Anolis sagrei: one gene and its partners. The protein of the gene in region 3 purifies or fractionates together with the protein of the main gene of each other region. This does not show direct contact. Links are inferred from orthologs where the notes say so. Each region holds a gene or a part of one and is shown on either strand. Other genes may lie near its edges. The genes, in order: RCAN1, RCAN3 and PPP3CC.

Region 1 (10,530 bases), on a different chromosome or scaffold from region 3:
GCCTTGCTGAATCTTCACATCCATGTTGCCACTGCACAGAATATCGCAGGGGCACCTACCTGGTCATCACAGACGCCTTGTGCTGATGTCAGCAGAGGTGTCTGCGTGACAAAGAAGAAGAGGGGAGAGTGATCCCTCTCTTTTAGTCTGGTCACACAGGTGCCTTTTTATGTCAGCACAGGGCACAGTGATAGCAGAAACTCACATGGAGTTCTGTGACTGTCTGGCAGTGGTGGTAGCAGTGACATGGGCCCAATCCATACCTTTTTTATGCACTAATGACTGCAGAGAAAAGGAGAGGGAGTCAGTGCACCATATGGACAGAAGACTGATCCTTGTTGGAGCAGGCCCTGCTGTCCACTAGGCCTGGGTAACAACAGAAAAATTTGTTTCTAAAATCGATTCGTTTTTGGGGGTTTTTGCGTTTCGATTTTTAAAAGAATTCCGAAATTTTTCTTTTAAAAAGTTCGATATTTACGAAATTTCGTAAAATTACAAAACAATACGAAACAATTATGAAACAATTACGAATCGATTCGTTAATGGCGGACACGACCGCGCAATACGCCAAATGGGACAGGGGGAACTTCTGAAGCTTCTCTCTCCCTCTGTTGTTGACTGTTGGTGTGATATTTATAATTTTTTTTCACTGATTAAACAAACAACAACTATAAAACTTGCCCCAGACATGCGGAAATAATAACGAAACGATTTCAAAACGATAACGAAAGAATACAAAACGATAACGAAACAATTACGAAACGAATTTAAAAATTCGTTTCATTTTTAAGTTGCTCCTGAATGGTTCGTTATCGCTTCGTTATAAAAAAAATAACGAATTTTTAACAAATTACGAAATTACGAAACGAAACCGCCCAGCCCTACTGTCCACACTAAGTCAAAGCCATGGGGCTGCTCCAGAGTTTCAGCCAAACTCGGAAACATCCCTGACTTTTCTGTCATTATCTGTCATTTTCTGCCATTATAAAGATAGCCAAGAGTGACTATACAATGAGAGTGGGCTATTAAGCTCTTGCAGACAAGCCCTGAGATGTGGAATGGGATATCTCCAACTTTTTACTCACTTGTGGATCACAAGCTTGGTGAATCAATGCCTTGAGTGAGCTAAAATGACAAGTTGGTAAAGACCTTCTGTGGCCATGTAAGAGAAGAGATATCTGAATTCTGAGTTATCATGCCTTAGGATCCTTTTATGAATTAGTTCTAGATCAAGCCCTGTGTACAAACCTTATAAATTTAGACTGTTTCAGTGGTGCATTTCATTATGGTATGGTTAGTTTGTGCCTCATTTGGCCCAATGATTGAGGTTGGAATCTCTTTTACAAAAAAGTATGTAGCAAGGGAAAAATTTAAAATGGGGGGGAAAGGATGCCATCTGTGTACAATGTTCTCAGCTCCCCCGCAGTAAGCTGATTAGGGGCAATCAGCTCCCTTCCCAGCTGCTTAAATTCTCCTGCTGAGAATGAGTTTGCTTCATGAAATGAAAGAAAAGTATTTGCATGAGCAGAAAGTGGAGGTGGCCTGAAGGAGCAGCATGAAGAAAAATTAGCAAGCACCACCAAAACATTTTAAGCACACTGATTATTCTAGGCTCTTAACATGGTGATTTAAATGGCTTTACAATTACTGACAAGGATTTCAAGAGGTTTTGTATTTGCATACCTGAAGAGAAAATGCTTTTTTTTCTTTTTTGCTGGTGACGGGATCTCAAAACTCCCAGTTAAGCTGCAGCATAATCAAGTTATTTCATAAAACATAGGATCAATCATAGGACTCATGACAGATGGCCACACAGCCTCTTTTTAAAAACCTCAGAGATGGAGACTCCACCATGCTCCAAAGCAGCATAATTCCACTGTCAAACAGCTCTTACTACCAACATTCTTTTTATGTTTAGGTAGGATCTCTTTTCTTATATTTGAAACCATTACTCTCTATTCTGGTCTCTAGAGAAGGTGAAAACAAGCTGGATCCATTTGCAATATGACATTCTGCAAATATTTAAATATGTCTATCATGTCACCTTTGAATCTTTCCTTCTCCAGACTATTCAAGTTCTCAGTTTGACTTGGAGGTCTGTATAGTAATAGTAGTAGGAGTAAAACTTTATTTATATTATAGTAGACCTCCTCACAATTACATCCCTGTTGTTTCTTTCTCCTTTAATTTCTACCCAGATCCTCTCAACTTGACTTCCAGGAATTAGGTCATGAGGCTCTTCACAGGTGTGAAAATCTTTGACCAAAAGAATGCTATGCCTCCTCCTTTCCTGTTTGCTCTTTTTTCCCAAAATAGATTATATCCCTCTATGATCACATTCTAATCATGAGACCCATCCACCAGGTTTCACCTAATAGATTTGTTACAGTTCTATTTTGACTGTCCAGCAAATGCCGCTGGAGTGGGGTAACAACAATAACACAATGCTACATAAAAATACTGAAAAACAAAGCAAAAAGAATAAACCATACACTGTCTCATTCAAAGGCTTAATAAGCAAAGGTAGTGCCGAGTGTGTGACTTCATAGAAGTCACATTCTCTCAACCTAAGGGGAAGGCAATGGTATGCTTCTTCTGAACAATTCCTTCCAAGAAAGCCCAGTGAGAATTTCACTTTAGGGTTTCTATGGGTACAAAAAAAATCGAGGGCACAAAACCACAATAATAATAGGAACTATTATTGTTCCTATTCCAAGTCCAAGAAAAATTGTTCTTGGACTTGGAATTCTGATTCTGAGATCCCCCAATTTCCCCATCATCTTTTGTGTACCTAGGGTCCTTCCACACAGTCCTATATCCCAGAATATCAAGGCAGAAAATCCCACATTATCCAAGTATGGACTCAGATAACACAGTTCAAAGCAGTTATTGTGGGATTTTCTGCCTTGATATACTGGGATGTAGGGCTGTGCGGAAGGGCCCCTAGACTAATTGTCACACTAGAGAAAAAATCCATTTAAAATCCAGTTTCTGCCTCCTGTAGAATTCTGGGGTTTGTAGTTTAGTAAAGCTGTTAAAGACTCCTCCCAAAATTACAAGCCCCAAAATTCTGCAAGAGGCAGAAACTGGATTTTAAGTGGATTTTTTCTCTAATGTGATGAAGTAGTAAGCTAGAACAGCTTCCTTGTATCAGAAGAGAATATGGAAAGTAATGTTTTAAAAACAGCTTATTGGCATTGCTTGTTGTGTTGTTTTTTGTTTAGTATTCCAAAAGTAATATCTTGCCAGAACTCATCTTTATATAATACAATACAAAACTGACCAGCACAAAACATAATTTTAAAAATAAACCTCTTTTTCTGTTTCTTAGTTTTCCTTACTGGAAGGGAAAGAATGGTGTAAAAGAAAAGGTAATTCCAGTAAAATGCCTAGAAAAATCCTTTTGAGAAATAATCTTAAATCATGACTATAAAACATTAACCGCTACACCAATAAAGGTAATGTGATTCCCAGGTGTAGTACTTTTGAATATAACTTCAATGCATCATTGTTACTCACAGAGTAAGCAGAAGTAACTACTTTGCTTGTAACTCATTAATTCCCAATTCGGTGTCAGATTAGCAAGGTAAATGGTAGAGAAAAGGACCCTTTCTTTCCACAAGATAAATAGGATGTAGAGAAGAAAGGAAGGGGGAAGCAGAAGTTACAAGGGTTGATTGCATCTTGGTTCAAATATTAGAAAGAAAGGTGGAAAGTTCAGCAGGACACAGCATAAATAAGGAGATCAGATAAAGAAGAATGGAAATGGGCGAGGACTCTTTCACACTCTTCTGCTTACCAGACAGCTATTTAGATGCCATTTCCTCCATATAACACAATACACATAATGGGCCATCTAGACAATAGCATCAGTTTTTCCGTTCTTAAGTTCTTCAGAGTATTTGATGTAGGAAATCAGATACAAAGAAAAAGGGCCTGTCATCACTTACTTTACTTCTATAGTATTATAGGCCCTGGTATCTGTTGTACTGTGTAAAGCAGTGGTTCCCAACCTTTGATCCTCCAGTTGTTTTGGACTTCAGCTCCCACAAATTCCTAACAGCTGGTAAACTGGCTGAGATTTCTAGGAGCTTAAGTCCAAAATAACTGGAGGACCAAAGGTTGGGAACCACTGGCGTAAAGGCATCCCAACTGAAAAGAGTGCTATATGCATTGCTCACATATTTATCTTGGTTATTTATTTATTGTGTCAAAAGAAAATTGATAATACAGTTATAATGTGTAGAAAAACCACAAACAAAGTTACAAACTTGGCATTCTATTAAATACCCTTTGACCAGTAGCTGGCCACTTGGAGTGCCTCTGGTGTTGCTATAAAAAGGTCTTTCATTGTGCATGTAGCAGGGCTCAGGCTGCATTGTGGTTTGATCTTTGCCACAATCACATGTCGTGGACTCCACTTTGTAACCCCATTTCTTAAGGTTGGCTCTGCATCTCGTGGTGCCAGAGCTCTGTCTGCTCTGTAACTTCCAAGTCACCCAGTCTTCTGTGTGTCCAGGAGGGTCTCTCATCTGAATTTTTTTTTCATGTCAGGAGCGACTTGAGGAACTGCAAGTCACTTCTGGTTCGAGAGAATCGGCCGTTTGCAAGGACGTTGCCCAGGGGACGCCTAGATGTTTTACCATCCTGTGGAAGGCTTTTCTCATGTCCCAGCATGGGGAGCTGGAGCTGACAGAGGGAACTCAACCCGTTCTCCCCGTATTCAAACTGCTGTCCTATTGGTCAGCACTGAGGTTTAACCCATTGTACCAGTGGTATCAGCCACTTTTGGACTCTTGCTTGCTGAGGTGTTTCTGCAAGTATTTATCCTGGTGTAGGAAGTAGAATCTACTTGAGGAACATTTTTTTCCCTAATGGATGCCTACTTTGAAAGTACTTCCATTAGTTGATAGGGAACAAAATCTTGGGAGAAATTATTTCCATGTGTGTATTTCCTTAGTAACCACTCGGTGGCGGTGTTTGATCACCTATTTAAAATATGTTTTTCTTTTAGAACAGTTTTTTTAAATATTCTAATCTATTCCAGGGTTTATAGCATCATAGTCCAGGCTATATGGCCATGCTCCAGAAGCATTCTCTCCTGATGTTTTGCCCACATCTATGACAGTAATCCTCAGAGGTTGTGAGATCTGCTGGAAACTAAGCAAGTGAGGTTTATATATCTGTGGAATAATGTCCAGGGTGGGAGAAAGAACTCTTGTCTGTTTGAGGCAAGTGTAAATGGAAGTGTAAAAAAACAGGGGAATTCCAATCAAGAATCAATCAGGGCCAGCTAATGCCTCCCCACAAAGGATCCCCCAGGCAGCAACCAGCCAGGCTTTGAAGCTAAAAGGCTACTAAATGCTAACCAAGGTGACCAATTGCAATATTCACACTTGCCTCAAACAAACAAGAGTTCTTTCTCCCACCCTGGGCATTCCACAGATATATGAACCTTACTTGCCTAGTTTCCAACAGACCTCACAACCTCTGAGGATGCTTGCTATAGATGTAGGTGAAATCTCAGGAGAGAATGCTTCTGGAACATGGCCATACAGCCTGGAAAACTCACAGCAACCCAGTAATAACCTCTGAGGATGCTTGCTATAGATGTAGGTGAAATCTCAGGAGAGAATGCTTCTGGGACATGGCCATACAAACTCACAACAGCCCAGTAATAAACTGCCTCATAAAGCAATGTAGATGGGGCCAGTATTAAAGCAACCTTGAAGGTACATCTCCCGAAAGCGTCTCTTCAAAGGGCCAAGAAGGGGGGAAAACGGCCGGCGGTGGAGACCTCAGTAAGGCAACACAAGCTGGAGGTGCCCTCACCCAAGATGGCGGAGGTGGAGTCGGGACACTTCTAGGCAGGACACCGGTTGAAGGCGAAACGGAGCACTCTGATTGGCGGAGTAGGCGTCAGTGCGGGGCGAACGCACGGTGCCCTCATCCAAGATGGCGGCAGGAGAGGAGGAGGAGGAGGCGGAGGCGGAGCCGGGCCCCTTCGAGTTGGGTCACCTGTTGAAGGGCCCGTCGAGCGGCGTGATTGGCTCGCCCCAAGAGCCTGCGGCCTCCCTTCCCGCCTCGGCGTCGATGGGATAGGGTTAAAAAGCCGAAGCCCTGGGGGCGGCGAGGCCTCGCTCTCTCTGTGTGTGTCTCTCTTTGAGGTACCACCCCCGGCTCCTCCCCTTCAGCCCGGCATGGAGGGGCTCGAGAGGCGGCGCGAGAGGGAGGAAGAAGGAGCGGCGTCAGGAGGAGGAGGAGGAGGAGGAGGAGGAGGCCAGGAGGCGGCGGCGGCGGCGGCGGGAGAGGCCAAGGCCGCGGAGGAGCCTCTGGACTGGACCTTCGTCGACATGGAGACGGCGATGTCGCTGCAGGACCTGCCCGCCGCCCTCATCGCCTGCAACCTACCGCTGGCGGTCTTCTTCCCCGACGGACCCAGCAGGGTGAGACCCCCAAGGCCCGCCTGCCCCACCTTGGCATTCATGCTGCAGAGGCGCTTCTCTGGCAAACTTGGGCCCTCCAGGTGGGTTGGGCTTCAACTCCCACCATTCCTAACCGCCTCAGGCCCTTTCCTTTCCCCCCTCAGCCGCTTAAGCGGCTGAGGGGGAAAAGGAAGGGGCCTGAGGCGGTTAGGAATGGTGGGAGTTGAAGCCCAACCCACCTGGAGGGCCCAAGTTTGCCTGAGCAAGAGCATGCCATTACCCTCAAGGCACATCACAGTGACTATGCCTTTCACTGTGGTACTGGTCTGCAGGATTTCCAGGACACAGCTAACAAAACATTCAAATGAGCTGTTCAGTAGTGGAACTCTCTGCCCCAGAGTGTGGTGGGGGCCCCTCCCCTGGAGGCTTTTAAAAAGAGGCTGGAGGGCCTCTGTTTAATTCTTCCTGCTTCTTGGTAGGGGGTTGGGCTGAATGGCCCACCAGGTCTCTTCCAACACTATGATTCTGTGATAATCACCACTGCAGATCCCTCACTCTTTTAGCCAGTCATTTTATGCGCACTGTTGTGGTCATTTAGTCAACTGCCACAAATACTTGGGACCAATAGAACTCTAGAGTTGGAAGAGACCCTAAGGGCCATCTAGTCCAATTATCAGCCATGCAGGAGCCCCCGGTGGCGCAGTGGGTTAAACCCTTGTGCTGGCAGGACTGAAGACTGATAGGTCACAGGTTTGAATCCGGGGAGAGTGCAGATGAGCTCCCTCTATCAGCTCCAGCTCCACATACAGGGACACGAGAGAAGCCTCCCACAAGGATGGTAAAAACATCAAAACATCCAGGCATCCTCTGGGCAACATCTTTGCAGACGGCCAATTTTCTCACACCAGAAGCGACTTGCAGTTTCTCATGTTGCTCCTGACACGACCAAAAAAACAAACAAATAAACAGCCATGCAGGGAGTCCCAGTTAAAGCACCTCCGGCAGATGGTATCCAGCCTCTGCTTAAAAGTCACTAGAGAAGGAGGTCCTACCATGTTCCAAGGCAGCTTATTCCACTGACGAACGGCTCTTACCATCAGTGGCTTCTTCCTATTATTATTATTACCTTTATTTATATTTCCCACCTTTCTCCCCTTGGGGACTTGAGGCAGCTAACATCTATCCCTGGCATGGGCAAACTTGGGCCCTCCGGGTGTTTTGGACTCCAACTCCCACAATTCCTAACAGCTGGTAAGAATTGTGGGAGCTGAAGTCCAAACCACCTAGAAGGCCCAAATTTGCAAGACCATGCCTTTATCTTCAAGTCACATCACAGTAACTATTCCTTTCATTGTGCTACTGGACACTAACCACAGCTAAACATTAAAATCACCACTGCAGCCCCCTTGCTCCTTTAGCCAGCCATTTTATGCTCACTGTTGTGGTCATTCAGTCACCTACTACCAATACTTGGGACCAACAGAACCCTAGAGTTGGAAGAGACCCCAAAGGCCATCTAGTCCAATCCTCAACCATGCAGGGAGACCCAGGCAGAGCACTCCCAGCTATCCAGGCTCTGCTTAAAAGTCTCCAGAGAAGGCGGTCCCACGATACTCCATGGCAACCTATTCCACTGATGACCAACTCTTACCATCAGGAAGTTCTACTACTACTACTTATTTTGATTTATATTTCCTGCCTTTCTCCCCATAGGGACTCGAGGCAGCTAACATCTATCCCAGGGATGGGCAAACTTGGGCCCTCTGGGTATTTTGGACTTCAGCTCCCACAATTCCTAACAGCCAGTAGGAATTGTGAGAGTTAAGTCCAAAACACCTGGAGGGCCCAAGTTTGCCCAGGCCTGATCTATCCACACTAAAGAGTTAAAAAAGAGAAATACAAAAAATAAAAAACAATTAAATAATAGTGTGGTAAAGACAGAATGAAAATACAGCTAATACATTAAAATGGCCTTTAGAACTCTTATCTCCTCTCCCAAACCCCACCCACCCTCCCTCCCCTAATGTTTAGGTGGAATCTCCTTTCCTGCAGTTTGAGACTATTGCTCTGTGTCCTAGTATGTGTTGTGATATGTTTCATGGCTACTCATATTCTGTCCTTTTAAATACGTGTTCTGGCTAGTCTATGTAGCACTGAAACCCTTTTAAGCCAATCCCATCAAAAATTATGCAAGTTTTCAAGATACCAGCTTCTTTTCTTTGGGTATGCTATTTTGAAAGGTGAGAAAGGGCGCAGAATGTGTCCTACCCAGCATGTGGCCTCATGATATAACACACCTGCAGGGTATTATACTGACAATTCTCCTTATATAATAAATGCATAACAGTTTGCATAAATTTATTATAGCTCATGGTATGGTGTATATGTTCTTATGGGTGCCACATGGCACATGTTATTTTACCGCATGGCTGGTAGGCATAATGTGCAGTGAAGGAATAGAAGAAATGTTCTGTGGAAAATTAGACTCCTTCCTGAGAGACATCTGTGTTATCTGAGGAAAGATGTAAGGGTAAAATTTTGCATGCATGCTCCCTTAGTTCTGATCCAGGATTGGCTGAAAAAAGCATCCCTGCATGTTTCTACTGTGCAAATTTGTTGGGCTACAATAGTTATTCTGGCCCCCTTAAGCATGATCTGTTGCTATGGGGTGTATCTACACCAGTGTTTCTCAACCTCTGCTCCTCCAGGTGTTGTGGACTTCAGCTCTCAGAAAGCTTACCAGCTGTTAGAAATTGTGGGAGCTGAATCCAAATCACCTGGAGAAGCAGAGTTTGAGAAACACTGATGTACATAACACCCCATAGCAACAAATCATGCTTAAGGGGACCAGAAGATACTGATCTACACTGTAGAATTAATGCAGTTTTATACACCTCTTTAACTGTCATGATTCAGTGTTCTTTGGCAAAGCTGTGCTATGCTTCTAGTGTTGCAGCCATAAGATTAATCCACCGCAAAACAGCAAATTTTGCCAGGAACTATATGGAGTAGGATTGAGCATCTATTTTCATCAAGGCTATTCAGTACAAGAGTATCATTATGGATAATGATGGATTTAATTTTAAGATGCAGGGACCTGCAGCAAAATGTAGGGTATCAATTTAAACATATAGTACTATAAAGATCCCTTAAGGGGCTAATTAGCAAGCCCTGAACAGACCCTTGAACAGACCCGCCCCTTTGCATGCTGTAGCTCAGCTATTTTTAGTAACAACTCCAAGCATGATTACTGTATTGTGCTGGTGCTACATGGTTTCTGTTCTAGATTTAGGCTGGGCGCATTCAGGAGCACTGTAGTTAGGGTTCTAACAGCAAGAGTCCTTTTTACAAGAAACACCTGTATTTAGGAACAACAGCCAGGAAGAATTATGTGCCCGGACTGCTATAGCAACATGTGAGAAGCATCCATATATAATCCTTGGTCTACGTATTTTGGGGCTTAATCTATTTTTGGAAACCCAGTTTTTATACATGAATTTCTTTTACTGATATTTATTGGCATGGAGCCACGCACTTTTAAAGTTAAACGTTCTTATATAAAAACCATACTCAGTGTCTTCATTGCCATTTTGTCAGGTAATTGTTAAATGGTTATTGTGTCTTATTGCTTAAGTGTGGCTTCTTAGAAGTTAGGTATCTTAATTCCATTGGGTATTACTCTAAAGTAGGCATGTACAGGATTGAGTACTGATTGTATAGTCCCAATTTGAGCTTATATTTTGTTGGGCTACTATGCTAGTATAAAACTAGTTGCACAAAAGAGGTGTGCTTTTACAGAGGTTTCATAAATGCACCCCCTAAACTCCTCTTACTTTTAACTTAATAGATGGGAGTTAATTGATCATTGCACAATGAATGTGTTCAGGGCCCTAGTGCCCATTGTGCAACGGTGAGATCCAATCAGCAGCACAACTGTGGGATCCAATGTATATTACACTATATTTATGATGTCCAAGATATGGCCAATCCTAGAGATACAGCGGTATATAAGCAAAGTAAATAAATAAATAAATATGAAAAGGAGGTCACAATGGGAAAGCATAAATGCTTTCTGTGTACTGGTTCCCTATATCATGATGTTCAA
Region 2 (9,822 bases), on a different chromosome or scaffold from region 3:
TTGCTGTGAATTTTCTGGGCTATCTGGCCATGCTCCAGAAGCATTATCTCCTGTCGTTTTGCCACATCCATGACAACTATTCTCAGAGGTTGTGAGGTCTGTTGGAAACTAGGGAAATAGGGTTTATATATCTGTGGAATGATGTCCAGGGTGGGAGAAAGGATTCTTGTCTGCTTGAGACCGGTGTGAATGTTGCAATTGGCCACCTTGATAAGCATTTAATGGCCTTGCTCCTTCAAAGCCTGGCTGATTGCTGCCTGGGGGAATCCTTTGTTTGGAGGTGTTAGCTGGCACTGATTGATTCATGTCCTGGTCACCTCTAACCCAACCAACAATTGGGCCACATAGTTTATAGAAAACCTACACACACTGATAGATACCTACATAAAAACTCCAACCAAGAAGCACAATTAAAGCCCTGGCAGACTGTGGAAAAAGAATCTGGACAATTCACAAACAGGTTCCTGTTGGAGGTGCAAAACAAAGAAAGGGACTTTTTTCATGTATGGTGGTCTTGTGAACTGGTGCAGGTCTATTGGAAAAGAATAATAAAGGAAACAAATAAAATGATTCACAACAAAGTAAAAAAAACAACCCAGGGATGTGCCTATTAGGGATATTCAGAAATGCTTAGAACAACCAGAGAGAGAATTTTGTTTGTACAGCTTTGTGGCTGCAAGCATTACAATTGCCAAAGATTGGAAAGGGGAGAAAACATTAAGCATCAAAAATTGGAAGGATAAACTGTGGGATTATGCACAGATGGCTAAGATTTCTAGCAATTTGAAAAATGAAAATCATGAAATATTTGAAAGAAACTGGAAGTTGGCCTTAGCATATTTGACGGGAGAGCTAAAGAAATAAAAACAAGAGGAATTTATTGAATTAGAAGTATAGGGTTAAACAAGATGTGCATAAATCCTGCAGGGATCAGTGATGGAAACCAAGGTGGTGGGGAGCACTGGAGGTGGGTTGAGGGATAACTATACTGTGGGTGGCGGGTTGTCTACATATGTGTATGTGTTTGTGTATATTTCTGCAATATATATGGTTGGTGTATTATCTTTTTGAAATAAAAAATTAATTAAAAAAAAGAATCTGCGAAGCCCACCTCCTTCAAGGTGAACTGAACCACCTCAACTGGGCTCTAGAGGCCACCGACATCAGAAGAGCTGCAAGATCAAAAACAAGCCATGATAGTAAGGACAAAGATGCACCCAGAGGAAAAGTGTTCTTACCATGCATCAAGGGAACCACTGACCGCAGAGGGAAGCTGAGGAAGAAACACAACCTACAAACTATCTACATTAAGAAAATCCAACAAATGCTCTGTTCAGCAAAGGACAAGAGGGATCATTTCACTTCTGCAGGAGTCTATCGCATACTGTGCAGCTGTGGACAAGTCTACATTGTTGTTGTTCATTCCACGACTCTTTGTGACCTCATGAACCATCCCATGCCAGAGCTCCCTGTCGGCCATCACGTCCCCCAGCTCCTTCAGAGTCAAGCCAGTCACTTCAAGGATAACACGCATCCATCTTGGTCAGCCCCTCTTCCTTTTTCCTTCCATTTTCCCCAGATTGTCTTCTCTAAGCTTTCCTTTCTTCTCATGATGTGGCCAAAGTTCTTCATTTTTTCCTCTACTATTCTTCCCTCCAATGAGCAGTTGGGCTTTATTTCCTGAAGTATGGACTGGTTGGATCTTCTCATGATCCAAGGCACGAAGTCTACATAGGGACCCCCAAATGCAGCAGCAGCGCTGAAACACGAATCAAGGCACATGAAAGGCACTGCAGACTACTTCAACCAGAGAAGTCAGCCATAGCAGAGCAGGTGATGAACTAACCTGGACGCAACATATTATTTGAGAACACAGAAATGCTGGACCACACCAACAACCACCATGTCAGACGACACAGAGAAGCCATTGAAATCCACAAGAAGCATGTGGACAATTTCAACAGAAAGGAAGAAACCATGAAAATGAACAAAATCTGGCTCCCCAGTATTTTAAAAAACCTTCTAAAATAAGGACAATAAATAAAGCAAATAAAGGGGAATTCCTGACAGGAATCAATAAGAGCCAGCTAAAACTCCCAACAAAGGACTGCCCCAGGAGGAAGCAGCCAGGTTTTGAAGCTGCAAGGCCATTCATTGCTAATCAAGGTGATCAATTGCAACATTCACACTTGCCTCCAACAGTCAAGAGTTCTTCCTCTCACCTTGGATATCATTTCACATATATATAAACCCCTCCTACCTAGTTTCCAACAGACCTCACAAATTCTAAGGGTGCCTGCCATAGATGCGGAAAACTCACAGTAACCCAACCTATGTACTACCTGTTAGGAATTATGGGAGTTGTTGTCCTTGTGGACAACAAGTTAAACATGAGCCAACAATGTGATGTGGTGGCAAAAAAAGCCAATGGAATTTTGGCCTGCATCAATAGGAGCATAGTGTCTAGATCTAGGGAAGTAATGCTACCCCTCTATTCTGCTTTGGTTAGACCACACCTGGAATATTGTGTCCTATTCTGGGCACCACAATTCAAGAGAGATATTGACAAGCTGGAATGTGTCCAGAGGAGGGCGACTAAAATGATCAAGGGTCAGGAGAACAAGCCCTATGAGGAGCGGCTTAAAGAGCTGGGCATATTTAGCCTGAAGAAGAGAAGGATGAGAGGAGACATGATAGGCATGTATAAATATGTGAGAGGAAGCCACAGGGAGGAGGGAGCAAGCTTGTTTTCTGCTGCCCTGCAGACTAGGACATGGAACAATGGCTTCAAACAATAATCATAATAATCATAATTTATTTATACCCCGCTACCCCAAGGGACTCGGTGCGGCTTACATGAGGCCAAGCCCACAGTACATCAATAACAAAAGCAATAACAAAACAATCAAGCAATACAATTAATATAAATCACATAGACAACAAACAATAAACATGCAAACATTTAAAAACCAATGGCCGGGCCAAATGTAATAACTTTTAAATTTAAAAAGAACAAGGTAGGACATAACTGGTACAGGGTTTTCAAAAAGAGATGAGGGAACGCAGTCAGTCCTAAATCAGTGGTAAAGTGCATTTCGAGGACATATTGCTGAGAGTTTTCCGTATTCTGGGAAGACACACTGGAACAACCACATTTTCAGGCTCCTACTAAAGACTGCCAGAGTTGGGGCATGTCTGATGTCCTTGGGAAGTGAATTCCAGAGTTGGGGGGCTACCACTGAGAAGGCCCTCTCCCTCGTCCCCACCAGTGAAGGAGGTGGGAGCGTGAGCAGGGCCTTTCCAGATGATCGAAGAGATTGTGTGGGTTCGTACACATATTTTTTTGTCATGTCAGGAGTGACTCCTGGTGTGAGAGAATTGGCCATCTGCAAGGACGTTGCCCAGGGGACGCCTGGATGATTTGATGTTTTTTATCATCCTTGTGGGAGGCTTCCCTCATGTCCCCGCATGAGGAGCTGGAGTTGATAGAGGGAGCTCATCCGCCTCTCCCCGGATTCAAACCTGCGACCTGTCGGTCTTCAGTCCTGCCAGCACAGGGGTTTAACCCACTGCGCCACCGGGGGCTCCAGCTTCGTACACAGAAATGCGGTCACGCAGGTAGGCGGGTCCCAAAGCATTCAGGGCTTCGTAGGTAAGAACCTGCACCTTGAATTGGGACCTGAAAATGAACTGCAGCCAATGGAGCTCCTTAAACAGGAGGGTTGACTGCTCTCTGTAAGTCGCACCAGTTAGTAACCTGGCTGCTGCCTGTTGTACCAATTGAAATTTCCGGACCGTTTTCAAGGGCAGCCCCACATAGAGTGCATTACAGTAATCCAATCTGGAGGTGACTAAGGCAAGAAAGGAGATTCCATCTGAACATGAGGAAGAACTTCCTGACTGTGAGAGCCGTTCAGCAGTGGAACTCTCTGCCCCCGAGTGTGGTACAGGCTACTTTTTTGGAGGCTTTTAAACAGAGGCTGGATGGCCATCTGTCAGGGGTGCTTTGAGTGCAATTTTCCTGCTTCTTGGCAGGGGGTTGGACTGGATGGCCCATGAGGTTTCTTCCAACTCTAGGATTCTATGAATTCCAGAATCTATTCTATGATGGCCCCAGCTCTTTAAGATGCTCCTCATAGGGATTATTCATGGCCTTCAGACTGGGCTATCTAAAGGCCTTTCCACACAGCCATATAACCCAGAATATCAAGGCAGAAAAGTCCCACAATCCCTGCTTTGAAGGGGATTCTATGAGTACCCTCCCTCTCTTTCTCCCCCTCTCCCTCACTCACCGCCTCTCGGAAAGACTCACCGCGTCTGGGCAGCGCAAGCGCCTCACAACCGCGCACGCGCTGTGGCACGCGCCTGCTTCTCAACTCCCCGGCGCGCATGTGTGCGCATGCCCGCGCGTCTCTTTCCTCGCTCTCTCACTTTGGAAAGAAGAACCCGGATGGAGGCTTTTTTTTTCTTTTTCCACCTCCTGGGGAGGATGACGCCATCGTATCTTCTGCTCGCTATGATTGGTGGGTGGCGTCACGTGCTCAAGCTAAAGCCCGCCCCTCCCCTTTCCTGCAAGACAGGGAATGGGGCATCGGCCAACTTGGGTCTTCTTTTAAGATGTTTTGGATTTCGACTCCCACAATTCCTAACAGCTGGGGGCGAGACAACAGAAAGTGAGGCGAAATCTTCTGAACAGGGCCACAGACAGCAAAACAAACCCTTCCCTATCTATCTTATCTATCTATCTATCTATCTATCTATCTATCTATCAATGCTCTGTGCATAATGAGTATCTTAAAAACAAAAGAACCAATGAACGAAATCACACCACATTTGGCAACAAAACGTCTCACAACACAAGGAGTGACCATCACTCAAAAATTATGATTTTGTCGTATTGTCGAAGGCTTTCATGGCTGGAATCACTAGGTTCTTGTGGGTTTTTTCGGGCTATAGAGCCATGTTCTAGAGGCATTTCTCCTGACGTTTCGCCTGCATCTATGGCAAGCATCCTCAGAGGTAGTGAGGTCTGTTGGAATTAGGACAATGGGTTTATATATCTGTGGAATGGCTGGGTGGGGCAAGGAGCTCTTCCCTGCTGCAGTTAGGTGTGAATGTTTAGCTGATCACCTTCATTAGCATTTGAAGGCCTGCCTGAGCCTGGGAAAATCTGTTGCTGGGAGGTGTTAATCTGTGCCTGGTTTTTTCCTCTCTGTTGTTTAGCTGTTATAATTTTAGAGTTTTTTAGTACTGGTAGCCAGATTTTGTTCATTTTCATGGTCTCTTCCTTTCTGTTGAAATTGTCCACATGCTTGTGGATTTCAATGGCTTCTCTGTGTAGTCTGACATGGTGGTTGTTGGTGTGGTCCAGCATTTCTGTGTTCTCAAATAATATGCTGTGTCCAGGCTGGTTCATCAGCTGCTCTGCTATGGCTGACTTCTCTGGTTGAAGTAATCTGCAGTGCCTTTCATGTTCCTTGATGCGTGTCTGGACAATGCTGCGTTTGGTGGTCCCTATGTAGACTTGTCCACAGTTGCATGGTATACGGTAGACTCCTGCAGAGGTGAGAGGATCCCTCTTGTCCTTTGCTGAACGTAGCATTTGTTGGATTTTCTTGGTGGGTTTGTAGATTGTTTGTATGTTGTGTTTCCTCATCAGCTTCCCTATGCGGTCAGTGGTTCCCTTGATGTATGGCAGGAACACTTTTCCTCTGGGTGGATCTTTGTCTTGACTCTCGTGGCTTGTTCTTGGTCTTGCAGCTCTTCTGATGTCTGAGGTGGAGTATCCATTGGCCTGGAGAGCCCAGTTGAGGTGGTTCAGTTCATCTTGGAGGAGGTGGGGTTCGCAGATTCTTTTTGGACGGTCTGCCAAGGCTTTAATTTTGCTTCTTTTTTGACTTGGGTGATGGTTGGAGTTTTTATGTAGATATCTATCTGTGTGTGTGGGTTTTCTGTAGACGGTGTGACCCAATTGTTGATCTGGTTTGCGGATGACTAGGACATCTAGAAAAGGCAGTCTTCCTTCATTTTCTTTTTCCATGGTGAACTGGATGTTTGGGTGGATGCTGTTAAGATGGTCCAGGAACCTGTTGAGTTCTTCTTCTCCATGGCTCCAAATGGTGATGGTGTCATCCACATATCTGAACCATATCGTGGGCTTTTTGGTTGCTGTCTCCAGGGCTTGTTTTTCAAAGTGTTCCATGTAAAGATAGCTATGACCGGGCTGAGAGGGCTCCCCATAGCTACTCCATCTTTCTGTTCATAGAATTCATTGTCCCACTGAAAGTAACTGTTGGTGAGGCAATGGTGAAACAGAGCCGTGATGTCTTCTGGGAACCTCTGGTTGATGAGTGCCATGGTGTCTGCTACCGGGACCATGGTAGATAGAGATACCACATCGAAGCTGATCAGCTTGAGATTGCTGATTTTTTTTTTCTATGAAGTGGGCTGAGTCCTTGATGTAGTGTGTAGTGAGCCCAATATGGCTTTGTAACTGTGCAGCAAGAAATTTTGCTAGGTCGTATGTGGGGGATCCAATGGCACTCACGATGGGTTTGAGTGGGGTGAGTCAGTCCAGTCACTTCAAGGATGCCATCCATCCATCTTGCCCTTGGTCGGCCCCTCTTCCTTTTGCCTTCCACTTTCCCCAGCATAATTGTCTTCTCTAGGCTTTCCTGTCTCCTCATGATGTGGCCAAAGTACTTCAACTTTGTCTCTAGTATCCTTCCCTCCAATGAGAATGATGTCAAGCACCCCCCCCCAAAAAAATAAGGGATAGTGACTTGTAGTTCTGCAAAGGGCAAGGGCACCAGACTACACAACAAGGGTTAAGTCTTGGTCACATTGCCAAGGCACTGACAACAACAAGGATCCCACGAGGCTTTTGGGAAATGGCTGGATCTTGCGACTTCTGCCCTTTGTGAGAGTTGTAGTTTCCCAAGGAACAAAAGCATGAATCAGTTGCAGCACAGCTGGGGTTTCATCTGCCAGTCTTCCCAATGATCATTGGACTCTCTGCCTGCCTGTTTTGGACTTGAGTACATACTATCTCCCTCATGAACTTTCCTCAAAGACCTTTTAAAACATTGGACTTCAGACTTCTTCATGAAAATTAATCCTTTTATTAAATATACTTGGGATGTGGGACAAAGATGGGGTTTTTGTTGCTATGAAATGCTTATGATTTGAATGTATGTATGTATCTTGCTATGAAACATTGCTTGTCTTACCCTTTAACTTTGCCCTACTAAAACTATGAAGCAAAAGACTGAATCGTGCACAGCTGCCCCGAGGGGTCATTTGCCCCACAATGGAACTCATATTTGCTCATCCCTTGCATGGACAATAGTTCAGGAAGTTTCTTCATTTGTCTTCGGAGCATGGCCAACAAGTGATATTCTTCCTCCGGTCAGAAACTAATTTACCAAGGACAATAAGGGTGAGACTGCCCATCAGGGGGTCCTGTGCCCAACCCTGATCATATCACTCGAAACTCTTCACTGAACTCAGCTAATCCGGCACTGACAGGAAAAGTCAGATTGGTTCAATCACCCACCCATTGACTCAAACAATAACTGTCTTCACTGCTGGCCCGACTTTGCCCCGGACGCAGGAAGATTCTTGGTCAAGATTGTCATAATCCTTCCCCTCCATTGTCATTTCTTCATCCCGCCTCCTCGCTCCTGATTCGCTAGCCCCTCGAAGCGGCCGGACGATCCTGATTGGTCCGCCCGAAGCGAGGGAGCTCGGTGATTGGCTGAGCGCGGGGGAGGTTCGGCAAGCCTCCTCCCAGCTGTTCGGCCATCCACCAATCACTGACAAGCCAGGTGGGGAAGGCGGGCGGGAATTTCAAATTTGCGAAACTGTACTTTTGCTATAAAAATGCTTCCTGGTCTCTGTATGCTTATGCTTGTGGTGGAATTATCCCTGCAATGCATCCAATTGCAGCTGAATCGCTAATAAACACCTCGGTCGCTGAACTTCTTCCGCTTTGGTAAGGTATTATTATTTTTAATATTTTAACAGCTGGAATTGGCTTCGCTGGCCTCACCAAGGTTTCCAGGACTCTCTTTGGTGCGGTCCTCAAGGATTTCCCCCGGCTGGGGAAACCCTCCTAAAAACAGCTCGATATCAAGCAGTCGGGCTTTATTTCCTGGAGGATGGACTGGTTGGATCTTCTCGCAGTCCAAGGCACTCTCAGAACTTTCCTCCAACACCACAGCTCAAAAGCATCGATCTTCCTTCGCTCAGCCTTCCCTAAGGTCCAGCTCTCACATCCGTAGGTTACTACAGGGAATACCATGGCTTTGACTATGCGGATCTTTGTTGCCAGTCTGATGTCTCTACTCTTTACTATTTTATCGAGACTGGACATTGCTCTCCTCCCAAGAAGGAAGCGTCTTCTGATTTCCTGGCCACAGTCTGCATCTGCAGTAATCTTTGCGCCTAGAAATACAAAGTCTGTCACGGCCTCCACATTTTCTCCCTCTATTTCCCAGTTGTCAATCATTCTTGTTGCCATAATCTTGGTTTTTTTTTTTATGTTTAGCTGCAACCCGGCTTTTGCGCTTTCTTCTTTCACCTTGATTAGAAGGCTCCTCAGCTCCTCCTCACTTTCGGCCATCAGAGTGGTGTCATCTGCATATTTGAGGTTGTTAATGTTTCTTCCAGCAATTTTCACCCCAGCTTTGCATTCACCAAGCCCCGAACATCGCATGATTTATAGTTCACCTATAATCAAAGAGTGTTCTGAACCCCATCATCGACAGAATGGGGCCAAACTTCCCACACAGAACGCCCATGACCAACGGAAAATACTCAAGGCCATCCAGAAGCCTGAAGAAGATAATTTTGTTCTTGAAACAAGGACACAAAAGCACCCGGGGAACCTTGTTGTGGACTCCCGAGTTGGCTGAAAGCAACACGAACTGTTTCCAGTTTTGATACTCTCAAGTTTGTGGAATACAATGTGAACTTTTGTTGTAAGATCATGGACATATTCTCAAATGTACTAAACACAATGTGAACTGCCTTTAAGTTTGATATATTCATTGATGTATATGTCCTATGAAATTATGTTGTAAACCGTATATATTTTGTGTGTTTCACTATTGAAGTTACTTAAACTTGTACCTATGTTGAAGCTTATTTAAATAGGACAATTGCTTATTTACAACTGATTTATAGGTATCTGTGTTATTAGAGCAGTGGGTTAAAGCCCTGTGCTGGCAGAACTGAAGACCGACAGGTCGCAGGTTTGAATCCGGGGAGAGGCGAATGAGCGAATGAGCTCCCTCTATCAGCTCCAGCTCCTCATGCGGGGACATGAGAGAAGCCTTCCTCAAGGATGATAAAACATCAAATCATCTGGGCGTTCCCTGGGCAACATCCTTGCAGACGGCCAATTCTCTCACAACAGGAGCGACTTGCAGTTTCTCAGGTCGCTCCTGACACGACAAAAAAAAAAATTATTATTGTGGCCAAATACTGATGTTTTCCAAAGCAAGGTGCAATGTGCTTCCGTCTGAATTGCTGCGTGGAAGATTTGCAGGTACCCCATATAATGAAAGACTCTGCCCATGTAACAAACAGGAAGTAGAATGCATTTACTACATTCTACTGTCTTGCAGTTTCTGTGAACAACCCCGAGCACACATAATCAACCCCCTACTGAGAAACTTACCAGCAAGTCCAGTGAAATTTTATGTGAAATTTCTACTTAGTGACAACCTTCCCCACGTGACCTTGGCGGCTACCAAATTTCTTTCTGAAGTAGCCAGAATTAGACAATTCCCAATTTTAGACACAGGCTGAAACGCGCCA
Region 3 (9,710 bases):
AATGTGATCTTCTCATTTCATCTAAATAGCTGCTAAATAACTACTTAAATCAATGCCACTCAAACTAAATCAAGGGCCCTATTCCATCATATTAAATCCCATATGTAGGTTGGACATCTCTTATCCAGAATTCTGAAATAATAAAAAATGTACCAAAATTCTCAACACAGGTGGTTGAGATGGTGACACTTTTGCTTTCTGGTAGCTCAATGCACATAAAAGTTGTCTCATGCCCAAAATATTACATAAAATTGCCTTCAGGGTATGTGTGTACTGAGGAAACATAAATTATAATATCATGTTTAAACCTGGGTCCTATCTTTAAGGTATCCCATGATGTCTGTATATGAAAATATAGGTATCCCAAAATAAAAAAAATCCAATATGCTCCAGCTCCCAAGTATTTCAAATAAGAGATACTCAACCTGTAATGCAGCAGATGGGTAAGCTTTCCTATCTCACTCAAAGTGACTCACGCCCATTTTATGGTGCAACCGATTATGAGTTTGTTTTGAATGGGTCAGATAATGAGAGATCTTTGACCCAAGTCTGAACTCAAAAATCATTTATATTTACATTTCATATAATAAATAACAACATTATTTGTTTCCTTCAACTCCCCATAGTTGAGTTGGACACAAAACAGTTAAAACATCCAGATAAAATATAGTATAAAACAAATATCAAAATACATAGTACACAGATTAAAATATAATACTAATATTTTACTGTTTTCAGTGTTGTTATCTGCTTTAAGTCTCCTTCTAGGGAGATAGAAGGTGAATACAAAGAAATGCAATAGTATTAATGCAATGTAACATTAAAATTGATTATTTAAAACTGACTGGATAGGCCTGCTGGAAGAGATAGGACTTTAATTGTGTTTTAAAATCCCACAGGTCATCTACACCTGATACACATTCCACCTGAACCACCTGAAAGCTTGTTGGAGATAGTATTTTAAGGATGTTGTGCATGAAACTTAACATTGAGCCCATTGAACCGCCTAAAAGCTATTTGGATAAAATGTTTCTAACAAAGTTGTGCATGAAATTTAACATTGAGCAAACGGAACCACCTAAAAGCCACTTGGATATAACATTTCTAACAATGTTGTGTATGAAACTTTACACTGGGCACATTGAACCACCTAAAAGCGATTTGGATGTAATATTTTTAACAATGCTGTGGATAAAACTTTACATTGGGCACATTGAACCACCAGTGACACCAGAGGCACTGGAAGTGGCTCCCTTCTAGTCAAAGGGAATGTAGTATAATGCCAAGTTTTTAGCTTTGTTTGTGGTTTTTCTATACATTTTAACTGTACTCTCAATTCACTTCTGACATAAATAAAACCACCAGAAAGCTATTTGGATATAATATTTCTACCAATGTTGTGCATGAAATTTAACATTGGGTACACTGAACCACCTGGAAGCTGATTAGATATATTTCTACCAACGTTGCGCATAATATAGGGTACACTGAACCACCTGGAAGCTATTCAGATATAACATTTCTAACAGCATTGTGCATGAAACTACACATTGGGCACATCGAACCACCTGAAAGCTATTTGGATATAATATTTCTAACAATATTGTGCATGAAACTTAACACTGGGTACAGTGAACCACCTGAAAGCTATTATTCTACCAATGTTGTGCATTAAACTTAACATTGGGCACATTGAACCACCTGGAAGCTAATTAGATATATTTCTACCAATGTTGCGCATAATATTGGGTACACTGAACCACCTGCAAGGTATCTAGATAGAATATTTCTAACAATATTATGCATGAAACTTTGAGTTGAGCATGAAACTTCACAATGGGTATGTTGAACCACCTGAAAGGTATTTAGATAGAATATTTCTAACAATGTTGTGCTTGAAGCTTCTCATTGGATACACTGAACCACCTGAAAGCTGTTATTCTACCAATATTATGCATAAAACATAACATTGGGCACAGTGAACCACCTGGAAGCTAATGAGAAATAACATTTCTAACAATATTGTGCATGACATTTCACATTGAACCACCTGAAAACTATTTGGATATAATGTTTCTAACAATATTGTGCATAAAACTTCAAAATGGGCACAATGAACCACCTGAAAGCTATTTGGATATAATATTTCTACCAGTGTTGTGCTTGAAGCTTAACATTGAGTACACTGAACCACCTGAAAGCTGTGATTCTACCAATATTATGCATAAAACATAACATTGGGCATACTGAACCACCTGGAAGCTAATTAGATATAATAATGTTGTGAAAGGAACTTCACATTAGGCACTTTGAACTGCCTGAAAGCTATTATTCTACCAATGTTTTGAATGAAACGTCCCACTGAGCACATTGAGCTGCTTGAAACCTATTTGGACATAATATTTCTACCAATGTTGTGCTTGAAGCCTAACATTGGGTACACTGAACCACCTGAAAGCTGTTATTCTACCAATGCTGTACATGGAACTTCACATTGGGAACATTGAACTGCCTGAAAGCTATTTGGATATGTTTCTAACAATATTGTGCTTGAAGCTTCACATTGGGCACATTGAACCAGTACAAAGCTATTTGGATATAATATTTCTACCAGTGTTGTGCTTGAAGCTTAACATTGCATACACTGAACCACCTGAAAGCTATGATTCTACCAATGCTGTGCATGAAACTTCACATTGGGCACATTGAACTGCCTGAAAGTTAATTAGATATAATATTTCTATCAATGTTGTGAAAGGAACTTCACATTGGGCTCATTGGAATGCCTGAAAGCTATTAGTCTACCAATGTTTTGCATGAAGCTTCACATTGGGCACATTAAAACAGCAAAAAGCTATTTGGATAGAATACTTCTACCAATATTGTGCATGAAACTTCACATTGGGCACATTGAACCACCTGGAAGCTAATTAGATATAATATTTCTAACAACGTTGTGCACGAAGCTTCACATTGGGCACACTGAACCACCTGGAAGCTAATTAGATATAATATTTCTACCAATGTTGTGAAAGGAACTTCACATTGGGCTCATTGGAATGCCTGAAAGCTATTAGTCTACCAATGTTTTGCATGAAGCTTCACATTGGGCACATTGAACCACCTGAAAGGTATTTGTCGAGCATGAAACTTCACATTGGGCACATTGAATCAGCAAAAAGCCATTTGGATATAATATTTCTAACAATATTGTGCATGAAGCTTCACAATGGACACATTGAACCACCTGGAAGCTAATTAGATATAATATTTCTAACAATGTTGTGCACGAAGCTTCACATTGGGCACACTGAACCACCTGGAAGCCAATTAGATATAATATTTCTACCAATGTTGTGAAAGGAACTTCACATTGGGCTCATTGGAATGCCTGAAAGCTATTAGTCTACCAATGTTTTGCATGAAGCTTCACATTGGGCACATTAAAACAGCAAAAAGCTATTTGGATAGAATACTTCTACCAATATTGTGCATGAAACTTCACATTGGGCACATTGAACCACCTGGAAGCTAATTAGATATAATATTTCTAACAACGTTGTGCACGAAGCTTCACATTGGGCACACTGAACCACCTGGAAGCTAATTAGATATAATATTTCTACCAATGTTGTGAAAGGAACTTCACATTGGGCTCATTGGAATGCCTGAAAGCTATTAGTCTACCAATGTTTTGCATGAAGCTTCACATTGGGCACATTGAACCACCTGAAAGGTATTTGTTGAGCATGAAACTTCACATTGGGCACACTGAACCACCTGAAAGCTGTCATTCTACCCATGTTGTGCCTGAAACTTCACACTGGGCACACTGAACCTCCTGAAGGGGATTTGGAGGTAACATTCTCCCCGTGTTGTGCACGGAGCGAAGCCTGTATCCCCTGAGCCCCCAGCCAGCCCCATGTGAGGCATGTTGGGGGTCTTTCAGGGCGGTGCGGCCCCTCCCCCCTCCTCCCTCCCTCCGTGGCAACGTGCTGGGGGCCTTCTTTCTCCTCAGAAGGGGGGGTCTGGCGTGGGAATGTACCCCCCTCCCCCCCCTTGAGGGTCCTTCTCCATAGCGACGGCGAGGCCTTCCCCTGCTGCCAGGGAAGGAGGCCCGAGCGAGGCCCTCCCTCCTCCTCCTCCTCCTCCTCCTCCTCCTCCTGCCGGCCTGGCGGAAGTGGCCCCACCCGCCCGAGGGAGCCCCCCAGGCTCACCCTTGACGATGCGCTCCGTCGTGGACAGCTTCCCGCTCAAGTTGCGCCCGGACATGTTCCCTCCGCCGGTCCGGCCGGCTCCTGCCTCCCCTCAGGAGGGACCGGGGATCTCTCTCTCTCTCTCTTGAGGAGGAGGAGGCCGAGGCGGCGCTGGAAGTGGCGGCGCGACAACTGGGGAATCCTCTCAGCGCCCTCTCGCTCTCTCTCTCTCCACCGCGCATGCGCCGGCGTCGCTCCTCTTCCCACTTGGAGCTGTCAAGGCTTCCGTTCCCGCTCAACGCGCATGCGCAACACAACTCACTCCCGCCTGCCTTCCTTCCTCACCCCACAGGCTTTTAACACAGCCGCGCATGCGCTGAGAGAGGCCTTTTCTTCGAAGAGCGCGCGTTCTGATTGGTCGACGTCACGCGAAAGGGGAGGGGGAAGAGAAGAGGAGAGAACGAGCAAGCCGAAGCTCCCCCAGGTCACGTGACCCCGCCCTCCTCTCAGCGCCCTCTCTCCACCGCGCATGCGCCGGCGTCGCTCCTCTTCCCACTTGCAGCTGTCAAGGCTTCCGTGCCCGCTCAACGCGCATGCGCAACACGACCCCTTCCCTCCCGCCTCCCTTCCTCACCCGACAGGCTTTTAACACAGCCGCGCATGCGCAGGGAGAGGCCTTTTCCTCCGAAGAGCGCGCGTTCTGATTGGTCGACGTCACGGGAAAGGGGAGGGAGGGGGAGGAAAGCCGAGGCTCCCCTAGGTCACGTGACCCCGCCAGGTCCCGCCAACGCGCATGCGCAACACAACTCCCTCCCGCCTGTCTGCCTTCCTTCTTCACCCCACAGGCTTCTAACACTGTCGCGCATGCGCAGGGAGAGGCCTTTTCCTCCGAAGAGCGCGCGTTCTGATTGGTCGACGTCACGGGAAAGGGGAGGGAGGGGGAGGAAAGCCGAGGCTCCCCCAGGTCACGTGACCCCGCTCTCCTCCTCCTCCTCCTTCATTCCGCCATTTTGAAAAGTAATTGGAGTTGCTAGGAAACGCAGCTGGGCCGTCGAAGGCTTTCCTGAAAGGCCGGAATCACGGCGTGGCCGTAGGTTTTCCGGGCTGTCTGGCCACGTTCCAGGAGCATTCTCTCCTGACGTTTCGCCTGCATCTGTGGCAGGCACCCTCAGAGGTTGTGACTCCTGTGGAAACTTAAGAAAAGGGGGTTTCTGTACCTGTGGAATGATATCCAGGGTGGGAGAAAGAAAGAAAGACCTCTTGTCTGTTGGAGGCAATGTTACAATAGGCCACCTTGACTAGCATTGAATGGCATAGCAGTTTCGAAGCCTGGCTTCATACTGCCTGGGGGAATCCTTTGTTGGGAGGTGATTAGCTGGCCCTGATTGTTTCTTATAGAATCCTAGAGTTGGAAGAGACCTCCTGGGCCATCATCCAGTGCCACCTCATTCCGCCATGAAGCAGGAATATTGCATTCAAAGCACCCCTGACAGATGGCCATCCAGCCCCTGTTTCAAAGCTTCCAAAGAATGATGTCCCGGGTGGGAGAAAGAAAGAACTCTTGTCTGTTGGAGGCAATGTTACAATTGGCCACCTTGATTAGCATTGAATGGCAAAGCAGTTTCAAAGTCTGGCTTCATGCTGCCTGGGAGAATCCTTTGTTGGGAGGTGATTAGCTGGCCCTGATTATTTCTTATAGAATCCTAGAATCCTAGAGTTGGAAGAGACCTCCTGGGCCATCCTCCAGTCCAACCCCATTCCGCCAAGAAGCAGGAATATTGCACTCAAATCACCCCTGACAGATGGCCATCCAGCCTGTTTCAAAGCTTCCAAAGAATGATGTCCCGGGTGGGAGAAAGAAAGACCTCTTGTCTGTTGGAGGCAATGTTACAATTGGCCGCCTTGATTAGCATTGAATGGCAAAGCAGTTTCAAAGTCTGGCTTGGAGGAATCCTTTGTTGAGAGGTGATTAGCTGGCCCTGGTTGTTTCTTATAGAATCCTAGAGTTGGAAGAGACCTCCTGGGCCATCATCCCGTACAACCCCATTCTGCCAAGAAGCAGGAATATTGCCTTCAAAGCACCCCCGACAGATGGCCAGCCAGCCCCTGTTTCAAAGCTTCCAAAGAATGATGCCCTGGGTGGGAGAAAGAAAGTACTCTTCCCTGTTTGAGGAAATGATACAATTGGCCACCTTGATTAGCATTGAATGGCATAGCAGTTTCAAAGTCTGGCTTCATTCTGCCTGGGGGAATCCTTTGTTGGAAGGTGATTAGCTGCCCCTGATTGTTTCTTGTCTGGAGTTCTCCTGCTTTTGATTGTTGTTCTTTATTTATTATTATTATTATTATTATTATTATTGTTATTAACTTTATTTGTACCCCGCTAGCATCTCCCGCAGGACTCGATGCGGCTTACAAAGGCCAAGGCCTCAACACAACAACAGCAAAACAATAACAATACAATTTAAAGCAAATTAAAACATAAGCAATAAGAAAAAAAATACATCAATTACTCAATAAAAACCAGGGCCGGGCCAGTGACGGGTACAGGTTAAAAAGTGCTGGGTGTGGCAGGTGGTATTTTGGATTTCCGGGCAAGTGCAGAGTGCAGAGAGTCTTAAACTCTAATAAAGTGCTTCTGGGACATAGTCTTGGGGGTTATCCTATTCCGGAAACGCACATCGGAATAGCCAGGTCTTCAAGTTCTTCATGAAGACTGCCAACGTGTTATGATTTTGGAGGTTTTTTTTAAAATAAAGGATTTTCCCCAGGCAGTAAGAAGCCAGACTTTGAAACTGCTAGGCCTCTGAGGAGCTTAGTTTTGAGATGGGGAGAGTTTGAAACTGAGGGCCCTTCCAGTCAGGCCCCTTCCACACAGCTGAATAAGATCCCACATCCATCTGCTTTGTTCTGGGACTCAGATAACCAGGCCGCTTTCACACAGCTGAGGAACATCCCACATTATCCGCTTTGAACTAGAATGTATTGGAGTGGGGACTCGAGTAACCCAGTTCAAAGCAGATGTTGTTATTCTGGGTTATAGGGCTGTGTGGAAGGGGTCCCAGAATATCAAGGCAGGTAACCCATAATATCTGCTTTGAACTAGGATATCTGAGTCCACACTGCCATATAACCCAGTTGTGGGATGTTTATTCTGGGTTATAGGGCTGTGTGGAAGGGGTCCCAGAATATCAAGGCAGGTAACCCACAATATCTGCTTTGAACTGGGATATCTGAGTCCACACTGCCATATAACCCAGTTGTGGGATTTTTATTCTGGGTTATAGGGCTGTGTGGAAGGGGTCCCAGAATATCAAGGCAGGTAACCCATAATATCTGCTTTGAACTGGGATATCTGAGTCCACACTGCCATATAACCCAGTTGTGGGATTTTTATTCTGGGTTATAGGGCTGTGTAGAAGGGGTCCCAGAATATCAAGGCAGGTAACCCACAATATCTGCTTTGAACTGGGATATCTGAGTCCACACTGCCATATAACCCAGTTGTGGGATTTTTATTCTGGGTGATAGGGCTGTGTGGAAGGGGTCCCAGAATATCAAGGCAGGTAACCCATAATATCTGCTTTGAACTGGGATGAGTCCACACTGCCATATAACCCAGTTGTGGGATTTTTATTCTGGGTGATAGGGCTGTGTGGAAGGGGTCCCAGAATATCAAGGCAGGTAACCCATAATATCTGCTTTGAACTGGGATGAGTCCACACTGCCATACAACCCAGTTGTGGGATTTTTATTCTGGGTGATAGGGCTGTGTGGAAGGGGTCCCAGAATATCAAGGCAGGTAACCCACAATATCTGCTTTGAACTGGGATATCTGAGTCCACACTGCCATCTTATTTACTTAGGTGATCCCTCGTTGTCTGAGTAGGAGAATCTTCCAGAGTGAATCTGTAGGTGACTGTGGAGCCCTCTTCCCTGCTCTGCATCTTCTCCCACAGTGAGGGCATTGGTTTCCAGGTGGAAGGCGGTCCCGGTGGGGGTTGGCTTGACACACCTTCCTCTTGGCACGTTTCTCTCTTTCACCCTCCATTTGTGCCTCTTCAAATTCTGCAGCACTGCTGGTCACAGCTGACCTCCAGCTGGAGCACTCAAGGGCCAGGGCTTCCCAGTTCTCAGTGTCTATGCCAGAGTTTTTGAGGTTGGCTTTGAGGCCATCTTTGAATCTCTTTTCCTGCCCACCAACATTCCATATTCCGCCCTTGAGTTTGGAGTAGAGCAACTGCTTTGGGAGACGGTGGTCAGGCATCCAGACAAGATGGCCGGTCCAGCGGAGTTGATGGCGGAGGACCATCGCTTCAATGCTGGTGGTCTTTGCTTCTTCTTCCAGCACGCTGACGTTTGTCCGCTTGTCTTCCCAAGAGATTTGCAGGATTTCTCAGAGGCAGTGCTGATGGAATCGTTCCAGGAGTATCATGTGACGTCTGTAGACAGTCCATGTCTCGCAGGCGTACAGCAGGGTTGGGAGGACAATAGCTTTATAAACAAGCCCCTTGGTATCCCTACGGATGTCCTGGTCCTCAAACACTCTCTGCTTCATTTGGAAAAATACTGCATTCGCAGAGCTCAGGCCATGTTGTATTTCAGCCTCAATGTTGACGTCTGTAGACAGTCCACGTTTCGCAGGCGTATAGCAGAGCTGGGAGGACAATGGCTTTATAAACAAGCCCCTTGGTCTCCCTATAGATGCCCCAGTCCTCAAACACTCTCAGCTTCATTTGGAAAAAAGCTGCACTCGCAAAGCTCAGGTGGTATTGTATTTCGGTGTCAATGTTGACTTTGGTGGAGAGGTGGCTGCCAAGGGAGCGAAAATGGTCAACGTTTTCTAATGTTACACCGTTAAGCTGGCATTGGAGAGGGATTGGCATTAAATGTTTGCCGTATATATGCTGTGCTCCGCCCTGAATCCCCTTCGGGGTGAGACGGGCGAAATATAAATGTTTTAAATAAATAAATAGTCGGGTGACTGCTGAAAGAGCACTTTGGTTTTCTCGATCTTTAATGACAGGCCGAGCTTCTCGCCATATAATCCAGTTCAAAGGAGATATTGTGGGATTTTTATTCTGGGTTATATGGCTATGTGGAAGGGGTCCCAGAATATCAAGGTAGATAACCCACAATATCTGCTTTGAATTGGGATATCATAGCATCCTAGAGTTGGAAGAGACCTAGCGGGGACGTGGTTTTAAAAAGGGAATTTTCAGAGATGTTTCCAATGCCTATAGATCATGATTTACTGCCAGATTGGCCTATTTCTGCACTACAAAAATGCTGGTTGTTTGAGAAATCAGTGCTCCAGAGAAGAAGTTACTATTCAAGGATAACAGTATATCCGGACAAAACCATCTAGCTGGTCTCTAGTTAGAACCCCCAAGTTTTGCAGTTCCTCTGAAGTCATGTTTGCAACAGACTATCAGATAATTAATAATAATAATTAATAATAATAATAAACTTTATTTATACCCCGCCACCATCTTCCCAAGGGGACTCGGGCCA

The links.
Region 1: the proteins of PPP3CC (region 3) and RCAN1 purify together in Homo sapiens (affinity purification with mass spectrometry; 3 studies listed by BioGRID and IntAct, counting the BioPlex papers as one, with this or other methods). This does not show direct contact. The link is inferred for Anolis sagrei from reciprocal best matches to the Homo sapiens genes PPP3CC and RCAN1.
Region 2: the proteins of PPP3CC (region 3) and RCAN3 purify together in Homo sapiens (affinity purification with mass spectrometry; 3 studies listed by BioGRID and IntAct, counting the BioPlex papers as one, with this or other methods). This does not show direct contact. The link is inferred for Anolis sagrei from reciprocal best matches to the Homo sapiens genes PPP3CC and RCAN3.

Annotation. Positions count from the first base shown.
Region 1 is NC_090023.1:70,560,800-70,571,329, reverse strand, and holds the start of RCAN1 (calcipressin-1), read left to right. Parts: upstream 1-5,914; 5' UTR 5,915-6,200; coding exon 6,201-6,446; intron 6,447-10,530. UniProt on the Homo sapiens protein: Inhibits calcineurin-dependent transcriptional responses by binding to the catalytic domain of calcineurin A. Could play a role during central nervous system development.
Region 2 is NC_090034.1:77,019,422-77,029,243, forward strand, and holds the start of RCAN3 (calcipressin-3), read right to left. Parts: upstream 4,381-9,822; 5' UTR 4,313-4,380; exon of another isoform or gene 4,293-4,312; intron 1-4,292.
Region 3 is NC_090027.1:1,199,613-1,209,322, forward strand, and holds the start of PPP3CC (serine/threonine-protein phosphatase 2B catalytic subunit gamma isoform), read right to left. Parts: upstream 4,521-9,710; 5' UTR 4,273-4,520; coding exon 4,218-4,272; intron 1-4,217. UniProt on the Homo sapiens protein: Calcium-dependent, calmodulin-stimulated protein phosphatase which plays an essential role in the transduction of intracellular Ca(2+)-mediated signals. Dephosphorylates and activates transcription factor NFATC1.